Rhinolophus ferrumequinum: one gene and its partner. The protein of the gene in region 2 purifies or fractionates together with the protein of the main gene of each other region. This does not show direct contact. Links are inferred from orthologs where the notes say so. Each region holds a gene or a part of one and is shown on either strand. Other genes may lie near its edges.

Evidence for each region. The genes of interacting proteins can lie anywhere in the genome.
Region 1: the proteins of SMC1A (region 2) and CDCA5 purify together in Homo sapiens (affinity purification with mass spectrometry; 7 studies listed by BioGRID and IntAct, counting the BioPlex papers as one, with this or other methods). This does not show direct contact. The link is inferred for Rhinolophus ferrumequinum from reciprocal best matches to the Homo sapiens genes SMC1A and CDCA5.

What each region holds. Positions count from the first base shown.
Region 1 is NC_046294.1:6,518,262-6,525,830, reverse strand, and holds the start of CDCA5 (sororin), read right to left. Parts: upstream 3,019-7,569; 5' UTR 2,853-3,018; coding exon 2,807-2,852; intron 2,573-2,806; coding exon 2,481-2,572; intron 2,403-2,480; coding exon 2,337-2,402; intron 2,258-2,336; coding exon 2,222-2,257; intron 1-2,221. Other genes in the region: ZFPL1 (zinc finger protein-like 1), read left to right, coding at 3,567-3,668, 3,974-4,085, 5,218-5,411, 5,508-5,580, 5,654-5,800, 6,038-6,161, 6,672-6,858; cation channel sperm-associated auxiliary subunit TMEM262, read right to left, coding at 6,948-7,254, 7,367-7,434, 7,541-7,569. UniProt on the Homo sapiens protein: Regulator of sister chromatid cohesion in mitosis stabilizing cohesin complex association with chromatin. May antagonize the action of WAPL which stimulates cohesin dissociation from chromatin.
Region 2 is NC_046284.1:82,385,882-82,392,920, forward strand, and holds the start of SMC1A (structural maintenance of chromosomes protein 1A), read left to right. Parts: upstream 1-4,027; 5' UTR 4,028-4,108; coding exon 4,109-4,217; intron 4,218-7,039. UniProt on the Homo sapiens protein: Involved in chromosome cohesion during cell cycle and in DNA repair. Central component of cohesin complex. The cohesin complex is required for the cohesion of sister chromatids after DNA replication.

The sequences.
Region 1 (7,569 bases), on a different chromosome or scaffold from region 2:
CAAAAGTGCCTGTTAGGAACAAGCAGGCCCGTGTGCCTGAATCGAGTGGAAGTTAAGGAGAGGCACTAAAGACGGGGCATGAGAGGTCATTGGGGGCATCCTAGGGCCTTTTCTAGGCCACTGTCAGGGGAGACCCAGGGAGCCCTGGCAAGGTTGTGAACAGAGCGTGCGGATTAGGAGGTTCACATACTGTCCCCTATAATTCCACTCAGCTCAGAGGCTGCTTCCTTAGGGAGGCTGTCCCTTACCGTGGAGTTTAGATCAGACCCTCCTCACCTCTGCTCGTCGCTCTCTGTCACAACAACGCTCTCCTGTACAGCAACCATCACTTTCTGGTTTGGGCTTGTCCATTGGTTGACTGTCATCCCCCCAATAGAATATGGGCTTCATGAGAGCAGGGGTCGTTATCTGTCTGGCTGACCCTGCCTGTGCCCCCGTCTTCAGCACAGCCTCACGTGCAGAGGTGTTCAGTAAGTTAATGTACACAAAACCCAATTAATGTACACGAAACTTGGCACTGAGCTGTCTGGCAGCCCAGACAAGAGGAAAATGAGACAAATTCAATGACTCTTACAGTCAGCTAGAAGGAAGTCCATTGGTTATCAAAAAGAGACACGACTGCAAGCTCTGGAGAATATGCCCCATGCGTCTCGTCAAAGGGATGCTGAACATGGCGGTTACCCGACTACTACTTCCTTATTCCCTATGGCCAAGCAGTCACCCAAGTCGTCGCAGCCTTTTCTGTTTACTGTCTCATGAATTTATTAGTCAACCAACAAGAATGAGTGACTACCATGGGGGAGGTGGCAGTCTCTGCCCTCAAGGCACCTACTGGGGAGAGAAAGACAACAAATTACCCCGAGCCATTGATAAGTCCTAAGAATTACATTAAGAAATGTGACAGTGACTGGATAGGGGTGGTCAGGGAAGGCTTCCGGGAGGAGGTCTCCACTGAGCTGAGTCCTGTGTGATAGGACAGTCATGTGGTGAGCCAGGGGGAGGAGCATCACTTTGCCATCACCTTACTTTAGGCCCCCATCATGTCACTTCAGGATTCCTGTCAAGTCTTCCTACTTGGTCTTGGAACCCCTGGCAGTCTTTTTCCAGCCGATTCTCCACCCAGCTCCCCCCACCCCCACCCCCAAGAGGGAGCTTTCTCAAACACCAAAGTTTAACTCAGTCACTACCTTGCTTAAGACTCTCCAAAAGCTGCCCGCAGTGCCAAGGATGAAACCCAAGGTCTCAAACACAGCTTTCATGCCTCATCAGGATCTATTCTGTTCTGGCTTAGCACGCGCCCTCCTCTATCAAGGTCTGCTGCAGACATACCAAGAAAGGAAGCTGTTGCTCCCCAAACCTTGTTTTTTCAATGTGTGTGTGGAATCCAGATCTCTGCAAATACAGCTTCCTTTACAGACACTCCTACTTGTCTATAAAGATTAAAGACTCATTTTAAATATTTCTTCTTCTATGAAATGTTCCCTGAGCCACCTGGTCTGGGTTAGGTGCCTTCATACCATCTAGTTCTTTCTGTATTGCAGTCCTCAGCATACTATGTTATCACCTGTTCATTTGTCTTTCTTCCCACTCGACTGTAAGCCCCATGAGCTCCTCAAAAACAGTTGGCATTTCTCATTCATTATATCCTCAGGCACAGATTTTAATGAAACATCTTGACTTCTGCTAAAACTGCAAAGCCATCATACACATAACTCATATTACAACAACCGTAAATAAAAACTGAGGACAAAGGGCGGTCGTTTGGCTCAGTTAGAGCGCGGCGCTCTTAACAAGGTTGCCAGTTCAATTCCCACATGCGCCACTGTGAGCTGCACCCTCCACAACTAGATTGAAACTACTTGACTTGGAGCTGATGGGTCCTGGAAAAACACTTAAATAAATAAAGTTAAAAAAAAAAAAAAAAAACTGCAGACAAGATGGAGCAGAAAGAAAGTTAGGACACAGTTAACGTTTAAAGGAAAATGGTAGAACGTACCATCTCTTGAACATACCATCAAGAGCTAAACATATTAAGTCTATAAGGAGTAAGCAAGGTTGGCAATGCCTGCAGGTGTCCAAGGGCAAACTGTTTCAAAATACTGCGAAACAGCTTCCTGAGCAAACAATGTGGGCCACTATAGTCTGTCCCAGCCTCTACAGTCTGTCCCAGCTCCAGAATGTCCTGGATTCTACTTAACAAAACAAATGAAAATGAACTCACCCTAGGGCTCCTTCGAGGCGAGCGGATGGATGGGACCTGTGGAGACAACACTTATTGATCACAGAGCCGGCCCCTAATTGTGGTTCCCACCCACAAGCTCTCTCTCAGTCCTCACCTTTACACTATGGGCCACGATCTTCTTCAAGACGATGGGCTTTTTGACTGGAGCCACCGGGGGTGCCTGGAGAAGAGGGGTGACCATGAGCTCTACGTGAGTCCAGAGACCTCTAGGGTAGGAACTGAGGAACCCCGGGCTCACCTTCGGCCAGATGTTAGGGAGGGTGCTGGGGAGATCGGAGCCTGATTTCCGCTGGGACCTCCGCAGAGACTGATAAGATGGGGTGTTTGGTCCTGGAAAGAGAAAAAAGTTAGGAGGTAGGGGAGGGCTCTGGACCTCAAGGTCTGGAACACAGGTTCTGGAGACAGTGAGAAAAGGTCCCCCAAGAGGCACTTTGGGGGAGCCTTCTCGGGGCGGAAGGTGGGCCGTGGGTCATCCATCGTAGGGCGGTACGGGGAGGGCCTTCGTCATGGGACTGCAACCCTCAAACAGCTCGGCCCCGTCTCTCCCGCGCGCCCTCCCCTCACCAGAGCGCTGAGAGGCCCCTCCAGACCGCGTTCGCCTCTCCGACATGTCTAGCCTTCGTTTGGATTGCCGCCGCCGCCGCCGCCGCCGCCTCCCGGGCTCGCGCCAACCCGAGGGCCTTTCTGAAGCAAAAACGTTCGGATTACCCGCCCTACCCAGGAGGAAGCGGAAATTGCGTAAGGCGGGAGGGCCGCGGTACTTGGGTCGCCTCTTCCTCACCGGTCTCAAGTGTACCGTCAGCCGGGGTGGGGCCAGGGGCGCGCTGGCGTCATCGGCGCGCGCCGCACCCGGAAGAGACGTGGCAGCCGGGGCATAATAGGAGCGGCCCGAACTGGAAAGAGCTGAGCTGGAGGTCCGCGGAGCGCGGTGTCTGTCCTTCCGTGTGTTGGACCAGCGCGCGTCTGTCGGGACCCGTGCCCGAGTGGATCAGTAACACGGAGAGGGGGTCTGTGGAGAAAGTGGGGGCGGGGCTTCGAGGGGTGGGACTCAGGAGGGGCCCCTGGAGGCGGGGCCGGTGGTATCGGAGAGACGCTGATGGAGGGGCCTGGCCGGGGGCGGGATCCAGGAGGAAAGAGTGGTCTTCGGAGGCGGGGTTTATGCCGGGAGCGTGGTCCGGAATGAAGAGGGGCGGTGGGCAGGAAGTTGGGGCTCCGGCGAACGTGAGAGTGTCTAGGGGAGTTAAAAATGGAAACGAACTGGGCTGGTGAGTGCGTAGCGGCCACCAGAACCTAGCTCCCTACCAACTCTTCTCCAGGGTCGACCATGGGGCTTTGCAAGTGCCCCAAGAGGAAGGTGACCAACTTGTTCTGCTTCGAACACCGGGTCAACGTCTGCGAGCACTGCCTGGTAGCCAATCACGCCAAGGTGGGGCCTTCAGGGGAGCGGCTGAGCAGGGCACTGGGAGGGCAAGTGGTATTGGCATCCTCCAAATCCATGAAGGTCCTGGCGCTAGAATGGAAGCTCCACGAGGGCAAGGACTTGGTTTATTTTGTTCACTCCTATATCCTCTTAAGACAGTGTGGCACACAGTATGTGCTCAATAAATGTTTATTGATTGAACAAACGAAAGGATAAGTCTCCTCTGTGATGAGAGATAAAGAGGCAGTTGGGCCTTAGGGAACTGGGCTGTGGAGCCCAGCTCCAGTTGTGACCTCTCTCTCCCACTCCAGTGCATCGTACAGTCTTACCTGCAGTGGCTCCAAGATAGCGACTACAACCCCAATTGCCGCCTGTGCAACATACCCCTGGCCACTCGGGAGACGACCCGCCTTGTCTGCTATGGTGAGGCCTGGGCACCTGGGGGGATCAGGATAGGCCCAGCCTGGTGACTAGTTTCCTAGCCCTCCCTAAGTAGCAGGACAGTGAGACCCCTCTAAGCCATGAAGGCTGGAGCCCCAGATTCTAATCCTGCTGGGTTACTTAACCTGCTCTGTAAGCTCAGGCAAGTCATTTTTCCTTTCTAGGCCTCAATGTCTCCTTAAAAATGAAAGTTCCTAGTTTCTTCCCTCCAATCTCAAGGGTTGAGCAAGAGGCAGTCAAACTTGTGGGCGTGGTTGAGGCTGTGAGCTGGCCAGACTGGCATGGGCCTTTCAGACATTCAGGATCCATTACTGATTCCAGGATTAAACAGAAAGGAAGCGAGTTTCCCATAGTAGAGTCAGCTAAAAGCAGTCGGCAGACATGTGTCATGACCTTGACGTTGTGTACGAGCTTTAGCTCCCTTTTTTGGAGAAGCTAGTGCAAAAGAGTGAGCTCCACGTAGGTGTTTCTTAGTGTGAGTGCATGGCTATACGTGCATGAATTTAATGTGCTTTGTGTCTTTACATAAGTGTTAGTGAGTTCATTAGTACTTGTGGGTGAGTGAATGGGTAAATGTTGCGTGTGAACATAAGAATACAGGTGTGTCGTGGGGTTGCAGAAGAGTGTGTGGGTGAGGGTGCTTGAGTGTTAGCACACAAGTGAGTGTGTAGATGTGTATGTGTGAGAGTTAGTGTGCCTGTAAGATAGATGCAGGGATGGCACTTGTTTGGTTATGTGTATATAAGCACAGGTATGTGTGCCCATGGAGGTGTAGAGGCATATATGTGCCTGTGTGTATGTCTAGGAAGCTCTTCTGAAATTGTTCTTGATTAACTGTTAGCTAATCAAGGAGCTTACGGCATCATCTTTCCACCCATCCCCACTTCCTGGTAGGCTGTGTAGCATCTGCTTTGATTCAGTCAGATGGTGGTAGCCAATAGGGCCGAGGGCACACTGACGAAATGGACCTGGGGCGAGTATGGGAAGGAGGTGGCCCTGGGCTTCTATGTGTGTGTGCATATGTTCCTGCAGTGGGCTAGGGGCTGTTGCTGGGCTAGGGGTACAAAGTGTCTTCTTCCTCATGCCCCTCCTCTGCTATTTCATGGGCCCTAAGATCTCTTCCACTGGGCCTGCCTCAATGAACGTGCTGCCCAGCTGCCCCAAAATACAGCGCCTGCTGGCTACCAGTGCCCCAGCTGCAGTGGCCCCATCTTCCCCCCAACTAACCTGGCTGGCCCCGTGGCCTCCGCGCTGAGAGAGAAGCTGGCCACCGTCAACTGGGCCCGGGCAGGATTGGGCCTTCCTCTGGTGAGAGTCCCTCTGTCTGTCTAGGGTTCCACCTGGGCCAGATGGGTGGGTGGGGAGAGCACTGGGCAGGCTGGTGACACAGGTTCCTTCCTTCAGATTGATGAGGTGGTGAGCCCGGAGCCTGAGCCCCTCAACACCTCCGACTTCTCTGACTGGTCCAGCTTTAATGGTGAGTGGCAGTCTCCGCCTGCTGTTGGGGCCCTTGCCTCCCTGCCCTGCTGACGGCTCTCTTCGTGCCACAGCCAATGGTACCGCTGAACAAGAAGAGAGAGCCAGTGCTTCTGCTGCCCCAGCCTACTACAACCAAGCCCCTCGGCCCCCTGCTTCCCCAAGCCGGCCTGAGCAACACACGGTGATCCACATGAGCGGGTCCGAGCCCATGACTCATGGTGAGCAGGGGATTGTCTAGGCCAGAGGAGGATAGAAAAGGGGTGGGGTGAAGGGAGCTCGGGTCCAGAGACCCATCTGGAGGGACCCTTCCTCACTCTAAGCGCAGACGTTACCGCTCTACGATTCTGAGATTTACTGTCAGGCCGAGAAAGGCAAGGATCTCCTGCCGTCCCCACTCCCCCTGCTGTGGGCCAGTTTCCCCGAGCCGGTGTATGCTAATGGCTCTGCCCCTGCAGCCTCGGCCCCGAGGAAGGTGTATGACACGCGGGACGATGACCGGACACCAGGCCTCCACGGGGATTACGACGATGACAAGTACCGTCGCCGTCCTGCACTGGGCTGGCTGGCCCAGCTGCTCAGGTACACAGGGTCAGGTGGGGCAGGATGCCAGGAAGGGGGAGGAAGGGAAGTGAGAGCCGGTCCCCGGGCACGACAATTTCATGACAAAAGAGGCTTGTCCCTGGGTAATATCGGGCCCCGGTGTTGGGGCTGAATAGAAAGGTCTCTGCTTGGCAATAGAACTCTTGGGTCTGCCGTCTCCAGGGCTGTTCCTCAGCTGCTACATACGAGGTTTCAACTCGGGCTCTTTGAGGCCCCTTCCTGCTTTGCCACCACCCGATCTTTGTAACTGTCCCCATGTCTGACACCTTCCGGTTTCCAGAACAGTCGGTGCCTCAGTTGGTTTGAGCGGCACGGTCACCCTTGTAGTGGCCAGGGCCAGGGATGTTCGTCCCCATGGCTCACTTGAGGAAATGAGGCTTGATGGTGGTGCTGGGGCCAGAAGACGAGTATCGTGATGAGGGCTCCTCGCCAGGCCGCGGGGCCCCCAGGGATTGGGGGCCTGATCTGACTTTCCCCTCGTCCCCCCAGGAGCCGGGCCGGGTCTCGTAAGCGGCCTCTGACCCTGCTCCAGCGGGCGGGGCTGCTGCTGCTGCTGGGGCTGCTGGGCTTCTTGGCCCTCCTTGTCCTCATGTCTCGCCTGGGCCGGGCTGCAGCTGACAGTGACCCCAACCTGGACCCACTCATGAACCCTCACATCCGTGTGGGGCCCTCCTGAGACCTTGCTTGTGTCTGGGCAAGCCTCGGAACTGGGGGCCTGAGGAGGGGACGTGGGACAGTCTGGGGGCCTTTCTCAGCTCCTCTCCCTCAGGCTTGAGACACTAAGATCCCAGGCCCAAAGCCGAATCTACCAGAATGGCTGCAGGCTGGGCCTGGGGTCCCTGCAGATAAGCGTTCGTCTTGATCTGCTTCCCCTGGGTCTCCGGCCTCCCACCCTCCCCGACCCATGCAGGAGCGGACAGGTGGAAATAAATGACAGACTTTATTAAAACACCCGAAGCTTCCTTTTCCTTCCACCTCAGCCCAGTCCCCAAGCTTCAGTGATTCTCCTCCCGGTACTGGAGGGCCAGAAATTCCAGGGACAGACGGTTGAAGAACATGGCTCCATTGAGCACTGGGTGGAGAGAACCCCCATCAGCCTTCCCTGCCCCCTCCACGTCTCGGGGTCCCAAAGCTCCCCATTCCGTCACTCACTCAGGACAGTCAGGGCAAAGTACCGAAGAAACTTGTCGTTTAGCATCTCAGCATAGAGCGACCCCATGGCAGCCCAGCAGATACTGATCACCTGGGAGAACTGTAGGCCCCATCCAGTGGGAGAGTGGCCCCCTGATACAACAGTGGGGTTTCCATCAGCCCCTGGGCCTCCGCCAACCAGCCCCTAAGCCCCTGCCACGGCCTACCATGAGGACCACGGTGTAGTGGAAGCTCA
Region 2 (7,039 bases):
AAGTGGCAAGAATGATGGGATAAGTGTGTTCGAAGCGAGGGGGAGTATTTTGAGGGGGATTAAGGGCAATGTGTCTTTTACTGTAACACATTTTTTCAAATTTAAACATTCACTATATTGTTTGATCATACCTCGTATTTGTGGAGTTCTTACTGTCAGACACTCCTTGAAGCACTGGGAGACACCAAGCAGCATAAGTGATAAAAATCTGAGTCTTTGTGGATGTTACTTTCTAGTGGGGGCAGATATACAATAAAGAGTACATTAAATAGTTTGTAAGATGATAAATGCTATGGGAAAAATATAGAACAGGATAAGGGGAACTGGAAGTGCCAAGGAAATGGGGGTGCAATTTTAAATATTGAAGTCAGTGGAGGCATAACTGAGAAGGTAATATTTAAGCGAATATTTAAAGAAGGTGAGGGAGTCACCTATGCAGATATCTAGGAGGAGAGTACTCCAAGCAAAGGGAACAGAAAGTGCTAAGGCCTGATGGTGGACATGAGGGGCACACATTCAGCATGTGGCAAGCGTGTGAGTGGAGGAGAGGTAGGTAGGAAATGACATTAGAGAGATGACAGAGGGGACAGAGAATGTAGGACTTTGCAGACCACTGTAAGGGCTGTGGCTTTTACTCTGAGAGAAATGGGCGGCCATTGGAGGGTTTTGAGCAGCGGGAAGGACGTGTTCTGCCTTTGATTTCTGAAGGATCACTCTAGCTGCTGTGTGAAGAATAGACTGGAGGTACGGGAGGCAGGGCTAGACGCAGGGAGACCAGACAGGAGGCTGTCACAGTTGTCCAGACAGGAGATGATAGAGACACACCAGGTTGGTAACAGCAGAGGTGGTGAGAAGTGGTTAGATTCTGAAGGCAGAGCCGACAGGACTTCCTGATGGGTTGCATGTATGGTGTGAGAGCAGTATCAAGAATAACTTCAAGGATTTGGGCCTCAGCAATCCGAGGGATGCACTTATTATCAACTGAACAGTCTGTGTGGGCAGATGGGATGTATGGGATGGGGGGAGGGTCAGGAGATCAGTTTTGGACTGCTGAGTTTGAGAGTCTAATAGATGTCCATCAATCACATACAAACGGTATGATACATTTTATTATTGTTCAAAAAGATTTGCTGCTCCTGTCTACAGGAACATTCTACGTCCTTATCTCATTGCCCTCGAGGTTAGCCATGACGTTTGCTTTGCCCTGTCCAGTGTGAGAATTGACACGTGCCATTCCTAAGCAGAACTACGGGCTGTTAGGTGAGAGCCACTTTTTGTCTTTACTCTCTGCTATGAGACTGGTGATGTCCCAGGTAAGGGCTGCTCCTTCAGCTTAGGTCCTGGGATGATGACACAGCAGAGATGCAGCCAGCCCACAATGGACAAGGGGGAGCGAGCAATACATTTTTGTTTTTATAAGCTGCAGAGATTTGGGGGTTGTTTATCACCTTCGCATCATTTAACCAATCCTGACTGATACAAAGGAATTTAAAGCTCTAAGGCTATAAGAGATCTCTAAGGGAGCGCATGTAAATGGGTAACAGTGTCCCAGGGGGAGATGACGAGAGGAGGACCTAGCACTGGAGGCTCAGGAGAACTGGCCAGGGAGGTGGGAGAATAACCAGGAGAGTCAGAGAAGCCAAGTGAAGAAAGTGCTTTTGGGAGGAGACAGTGAGCAACTGATGACAGGTTAAGAGGAGGACTGAGAAGTGATTTACTAACATGAGGATTGCTGATGACCTTGACCAGAACATTCTTGGGGGGGGGTTATGGGGCCAAAAGCCTGACTGAAGTGGGTTCAACAGAGACTAGGACTCTGTGGCACAAACTCAGTGTATTTTTTTGTAATTGCAAGAGAAAAAGAGAGAGGAGGAACCTGTAGATTAAAAGAGACATATATACAGGTGGGAAGGTTTCTCTAGCCTACACCTAGGAGTGTAAGTGCTGGATCATAACACTTAAAGCGTATTTAACTTTACAAGATAATGTTAACTTGTTTTCCAAGGACACTGTACCAGTTTACACCTTGACGATAGTGTATAAAAACTTGTTACTTCACATCTTCACCAACACTTCGTATTGCAGACTTTTTGATTTTTGCCAATGTGTGGGTGTAAAATTATAATAACCAATTTTAATTGGAATTTTCCATATCACTAATGAGGTTGCATATCTTTTCATGTGTGTTTTGGCCATTTTTGTTTACTCTTCTGTGAAGTGCCCATTCATATCTTTTGTTCTTTTTTTAAAAAATCAGGTTGTTTTTCTTATTAATCTTAGGAGTTCCTTATGCATTCTACACACTAACCATTTCTTAGTTTATATGTGGCAAACGTTTCCAATTTGTGTCTGGTCTTTTCACTTTATTATTATTTGATAATAGTTTTTATTATTTAAGAATCCCTTGAGGTCATATAGTCTCCTGTATATTCTTCTAAAATTCTAAAGTTTACCTTTCTCATTTAAGTTTTTAATCCATTTGGAATTGCATTTTGTGTATGGTATGAGAGGCAGTGATTCAATTTGATTCTTCCCCCCAAGCTCCAGCTCATCTTTTAAAATGAAACAATAGTTCACGTCAGATTGCTGTCCTTTGGCCATTTTACTCCTCAGCTTGACCATGACTGTTCCTCCCAGTTGAACTTCATTTATGGCTCTTCTCTACTAGAGTCTATCAACCAAACTTGCTCACTTTCCTGGACTTGTCCTACAACTTTAAGACTCTTTTCAGCCTCTGGACATCATTTAAACAATAGTTACAGGAATGGCTATGGCAACCACCAGACCCTTTCCATGTCTAAGTCTAAGCACCAACTCCAGCCTACTCATTCCATTTGTCACCACAATATAAGGTCACTGAAGGGGAAGACTCAGCAGACATTTTAAACTTCTTGGACTGCTAAGGCCATGGCCATGGTAATGAGCAGGTATAAGGTGATACGGCGATGAGGCGACGAAGGGGAGGGATAAAAAAGATTGGGAACAGAGAGAGGAAAGGGACAGAGAGAGCAGAGTGAGGGGGCAGAGAAGGAAAGAAGGAGAGCAACAGGGCGGTTGGTGGGTGTGGAGGACAGAGGGCAGAGAGAGAAGAGGAAGGGGAAAGCAAGGGATGGGGCAGAGGGGGATGGAGAGGAGGGAATGGCATGGAGGTGAGGCACGAAGAGAGAGATAGATAAAGGGGGGAGAAGAGAAGAAGGATAAAGGTGGAGAACACTGGGTTAGGGACCTTGACTCCTAAGGGTTCACACAAAATACCTTTCTTATCAAGGCGTCCCAATTTTGAAGCTCCTAGGTGGGGTCTAGGTTCAAATAGCCAACAAGTGGCTCAGGTCCAAGTCTGTTCTTGGGCTACAGCGTCAGTCTCTGAACTCTGCTTGGAAGAAAAGGAGGGAGGCAGGGGACAGGGGTAGCACCTCTGGCCACGGCTTTCCCCAGCCCTATCCCTGTGGCTCGAGTACCCTCGTAGCTCTTAACACCCCATCCCCCTTCACACTCCATCCCACCTCTAACTCCACCCCACTCCGCCTCCAACCCCGAGCCATAGTAGGATCTGAGCCCATCTAACACCGAATCCTCCCGCTGGCCCCTCCTTCCTGTACAGCCTCCGGCTCCCCGCTCCCCGGGGTCCTTCCAGTACCCCACTCTATTCTTGTCTGAGCCTTCTGGCCCGCCAGGCTAAAGCCGAACTCCCACCTTCCTCTCGCCCTGCAGGGCATAACCCTGTAGTGACTTCAGACTTGTGTTAGCAAGAGTGAACTCTGTCTGCTTTTTCAGATCCTGAAAGCTGTTCAGTCTCCCGCACCGCTGCCTCTGCAATTCTCTCAGTAGTGGCGGCGCTCTGCGTTGCCAAGCAACAAGAAAGGGAGGCGGGGCCAAACGCTCGTCGTAGGCTCGCTCCTTGGCAACGGATCAACAAACCTGCGCGTCAGCCCGAAGGCCCCGCCCCTAGCTCCCGCCCACGGGAAGCTGGGAATCCCGTTCGACCTGCACTTATTCTCGCGACGTTTGGGGTCCGCCCGGCCTGCATTGCGGTGTTTCCCGCGCAGGCTACCTCGGTTCCTCGGCGCACGGCGCGGCCATTCGTACCGCCGCCGGCGCCGTAGCCGTCATGGGCTTCCTGAAATTGATTGAGATCGAGAACTTTAAGTCGTACAAGGGTCGACAGATTATCGGACCATTTCAGAGGTTCACCGCCATCATTGGACCCAATGGCTCTGGTAAGATAAACCCGGCTGCGGCCATGGGCACGTCCCGGACCCCCTATCCAGCAGCAGAGTAGTACAGCCCAGCCCGTGCCACTTGAAATGTCGGGAACCCTAACAGGTTCCTTGCCGCTCCTCAGGGGGTTCGGCCCAAACCTGCTTTCCCGGTTCAGGAGCTCTGACTTGAACCTTTTCCCCAGGTGTCAGTTGGCCGCTCTTCGCGCGGCCCCCGCTCCGGCCCCAGTGGTACGCCCCGGATTCTATATTCCCCCGCCCTCTGCCCCCTCCCGCCAAAAGTGGCGGTCCCGAGCCCGCTGCCAGCTAGCTGGATTCCCCGCCTTGTAAGAACCCTCCGGAAGATGTGGGACTGCTGGTAGCCCTCCCGTGACCTCCGGTCTCAAACGGTACACTTACCCGTCCCGCTTCGCATTGGTACGCTCCAATTCCTCCTCCTCTTTTTTTTTTTTAAACTCTTTTTCGGAGGCGGCACTTTTGAATTTGAGACCCAGCGCTCGCGTCTCGACCCTCCACCCCGTCCCCATTTTAGAGGTGGGGATGCCTCGAACTCGCCCCTTTGCTACCACTGAAACCGTTAAAACTCGGAACTTATTCGCTCACCAAATTTGTTGAATGCTTACTGTTTTATAAGGAATTTATTCAAGGTGCTGTGGAAATAGCGGAAAATAGAATAAGCCTTGCTCCCAGGGAATTTACATTCCAGATGGGAAAGACAATAATAAAGGAGAAAATAGAATAATTTTCGGTTGTGATAACTGCTGTGCAGGAAATAACACAGGTTGATGTGATAGAGTGACGTGGATGGTGTCTTTGGAAAGAGTGGTCCGTAGTTAACAGTACTGTGTTATATATTTGAGAGTTGCTAAGAGAGTAGATTTTAAAAGTTTTCATCACAAGGAAAAAATGTTAACTATGTGAGGTGATGGATGTTAACTAATTGCGGTGATCATTTTGCAATTTATATAAATGTGGAATCATAATGGTATACACCTGAAACTAATATGTCATGTCAGTTCTGTTTCAGTGAAACTGGGAAAAAAAGAAAGGGTGGTTAGATAAGGCCTCTGTTACATATCTGAACTTCCCATCTCTAAACGATACACCATGGATTCCTCCCATCTACCCCCACGAGTGTTTGTTTGGAATCCTGCTGTGCTTCACCCCAGAGTTGTTCTAGCTAAATCATTTCCTAGCCTGAGGGGAGCTGCCCTTGCTGAAGTAGCTCTAACTGACAGCCTTGCCTGGAGTCTTGCCCCGGTTTGGCTCGGTTGAGCAGGGTTTCTCAACCCCGGCCTTACTGACATTTCCAGCGAGATAATTCTTTGTTAAGGGGTCGGTCCTGTGTATTGTAGGATGTTTAGCGGCATCCTCGGCTACTACCCACTACTGACAGTACTACCCCTACCCCCCAGGTGTTACAACCAAAAATGTCTCCAGACATTTTACCAAATGTCCCCTGAAGGGGGCGGGAAATCATCCCCTCCCAACCTTGTTTGAGAACCACTGGCCTGGAGGGCTAATACTTGGGGTCCCACTCCAGTTTCTTAGTATTTTGGTGTGGGGGAAAGAGCCAGGATGCACCTCTTGGCATTAGTCCCCTCATTGTATAGCCCCCTCAGCTGCTCCAAAAGGCTCTTGGTCTGACTGTCCTCCTCGCCCCCCCACGCCCCCCATTCTTCAGTGCCCACCTCCACAAGGCATTCCTTGATTCCTCTCAGGCACACAGTAGACACTTGATACACTTGAACATTTGGTTTCTCCTGTCTCGTATTCATGGCATGTTTTTGTATCTTCATCACTGGTCTGTGCTATGAATGCCCCAAAGAAGACATTCCTTAAAACTGTATCACTGTTCATTCAGCTCATAATACATGTTATTAAAAATGTTTACAATATTGAGTGATTGTGAGTAGGGAGGCCTTGGGTTGTGAGATATTCTTACTGTTCCTGGAGAGCATGGGACAAGCCCAAAGGTTGGAAATGGGTGCCTAAAAGGCTGACTCCGGGTCTGCATGATGTGCTAGTCCTGCTGTGATGAGGGAGACAGCTGAGTCTAGAACTGTTGTTAGGATAGGGCTACTGTTTTTTTGAGCACCTACTGTATGTCAAGTACTTTATTTATTGGGACCTTTTACATTTAAATTCTCACAATAACCCTAGAAGGGAGATCCCGTTATCCTTGTTTTATACTTGAGGAGACTGAGGCACAGAGTTGTGATGACTTGCATACTGGTTCTCAGAGCCAGAATCGGAACCCATGTCTGTTACACTTGCAAGCTTTTGCTCTTGCCACTCTAACAGACAACTATGTGCCAAGCATCGTTTTAGATGCTTCACCTATGAGTCATGCTTTTTCACATTTTTCAGGTGAGGGAATAGAAGGTTAGCTAAGGAGTAGTGAAACTAAGGTTATACAACCTGGTCTATTGGACTAGACCCCGAGCTCTTAATCTGTCTTGTGCTGCCTCCATGGAAGGACCTGGGCTACCGTTTTTATAGCTGAGTAGATCGGTGTTGGAAATCAGATCCAAAGTTCACTGTCATATAACATAGTTGGGGAGAATCTTGAGATAGAATTTATAGAGATTAAACTATTCCCCACCTCCAGTCCCAGTCCAGATTTTTTAAAATGTTTTTTTCCTGAGTCTAAAACGAAGAAAGTAAAAACTGTCACTCTTAATGTTAACAATTTTATGTATTTGAATAGCTAATCAATGCATATGGTATAAAATTCAAAAAAATACCAAAGGCTATAATACAGTTAAAAGAAGACTCCATTTCTTCCCTGGTTTGTTACCTACTATTACACTGTTTACATT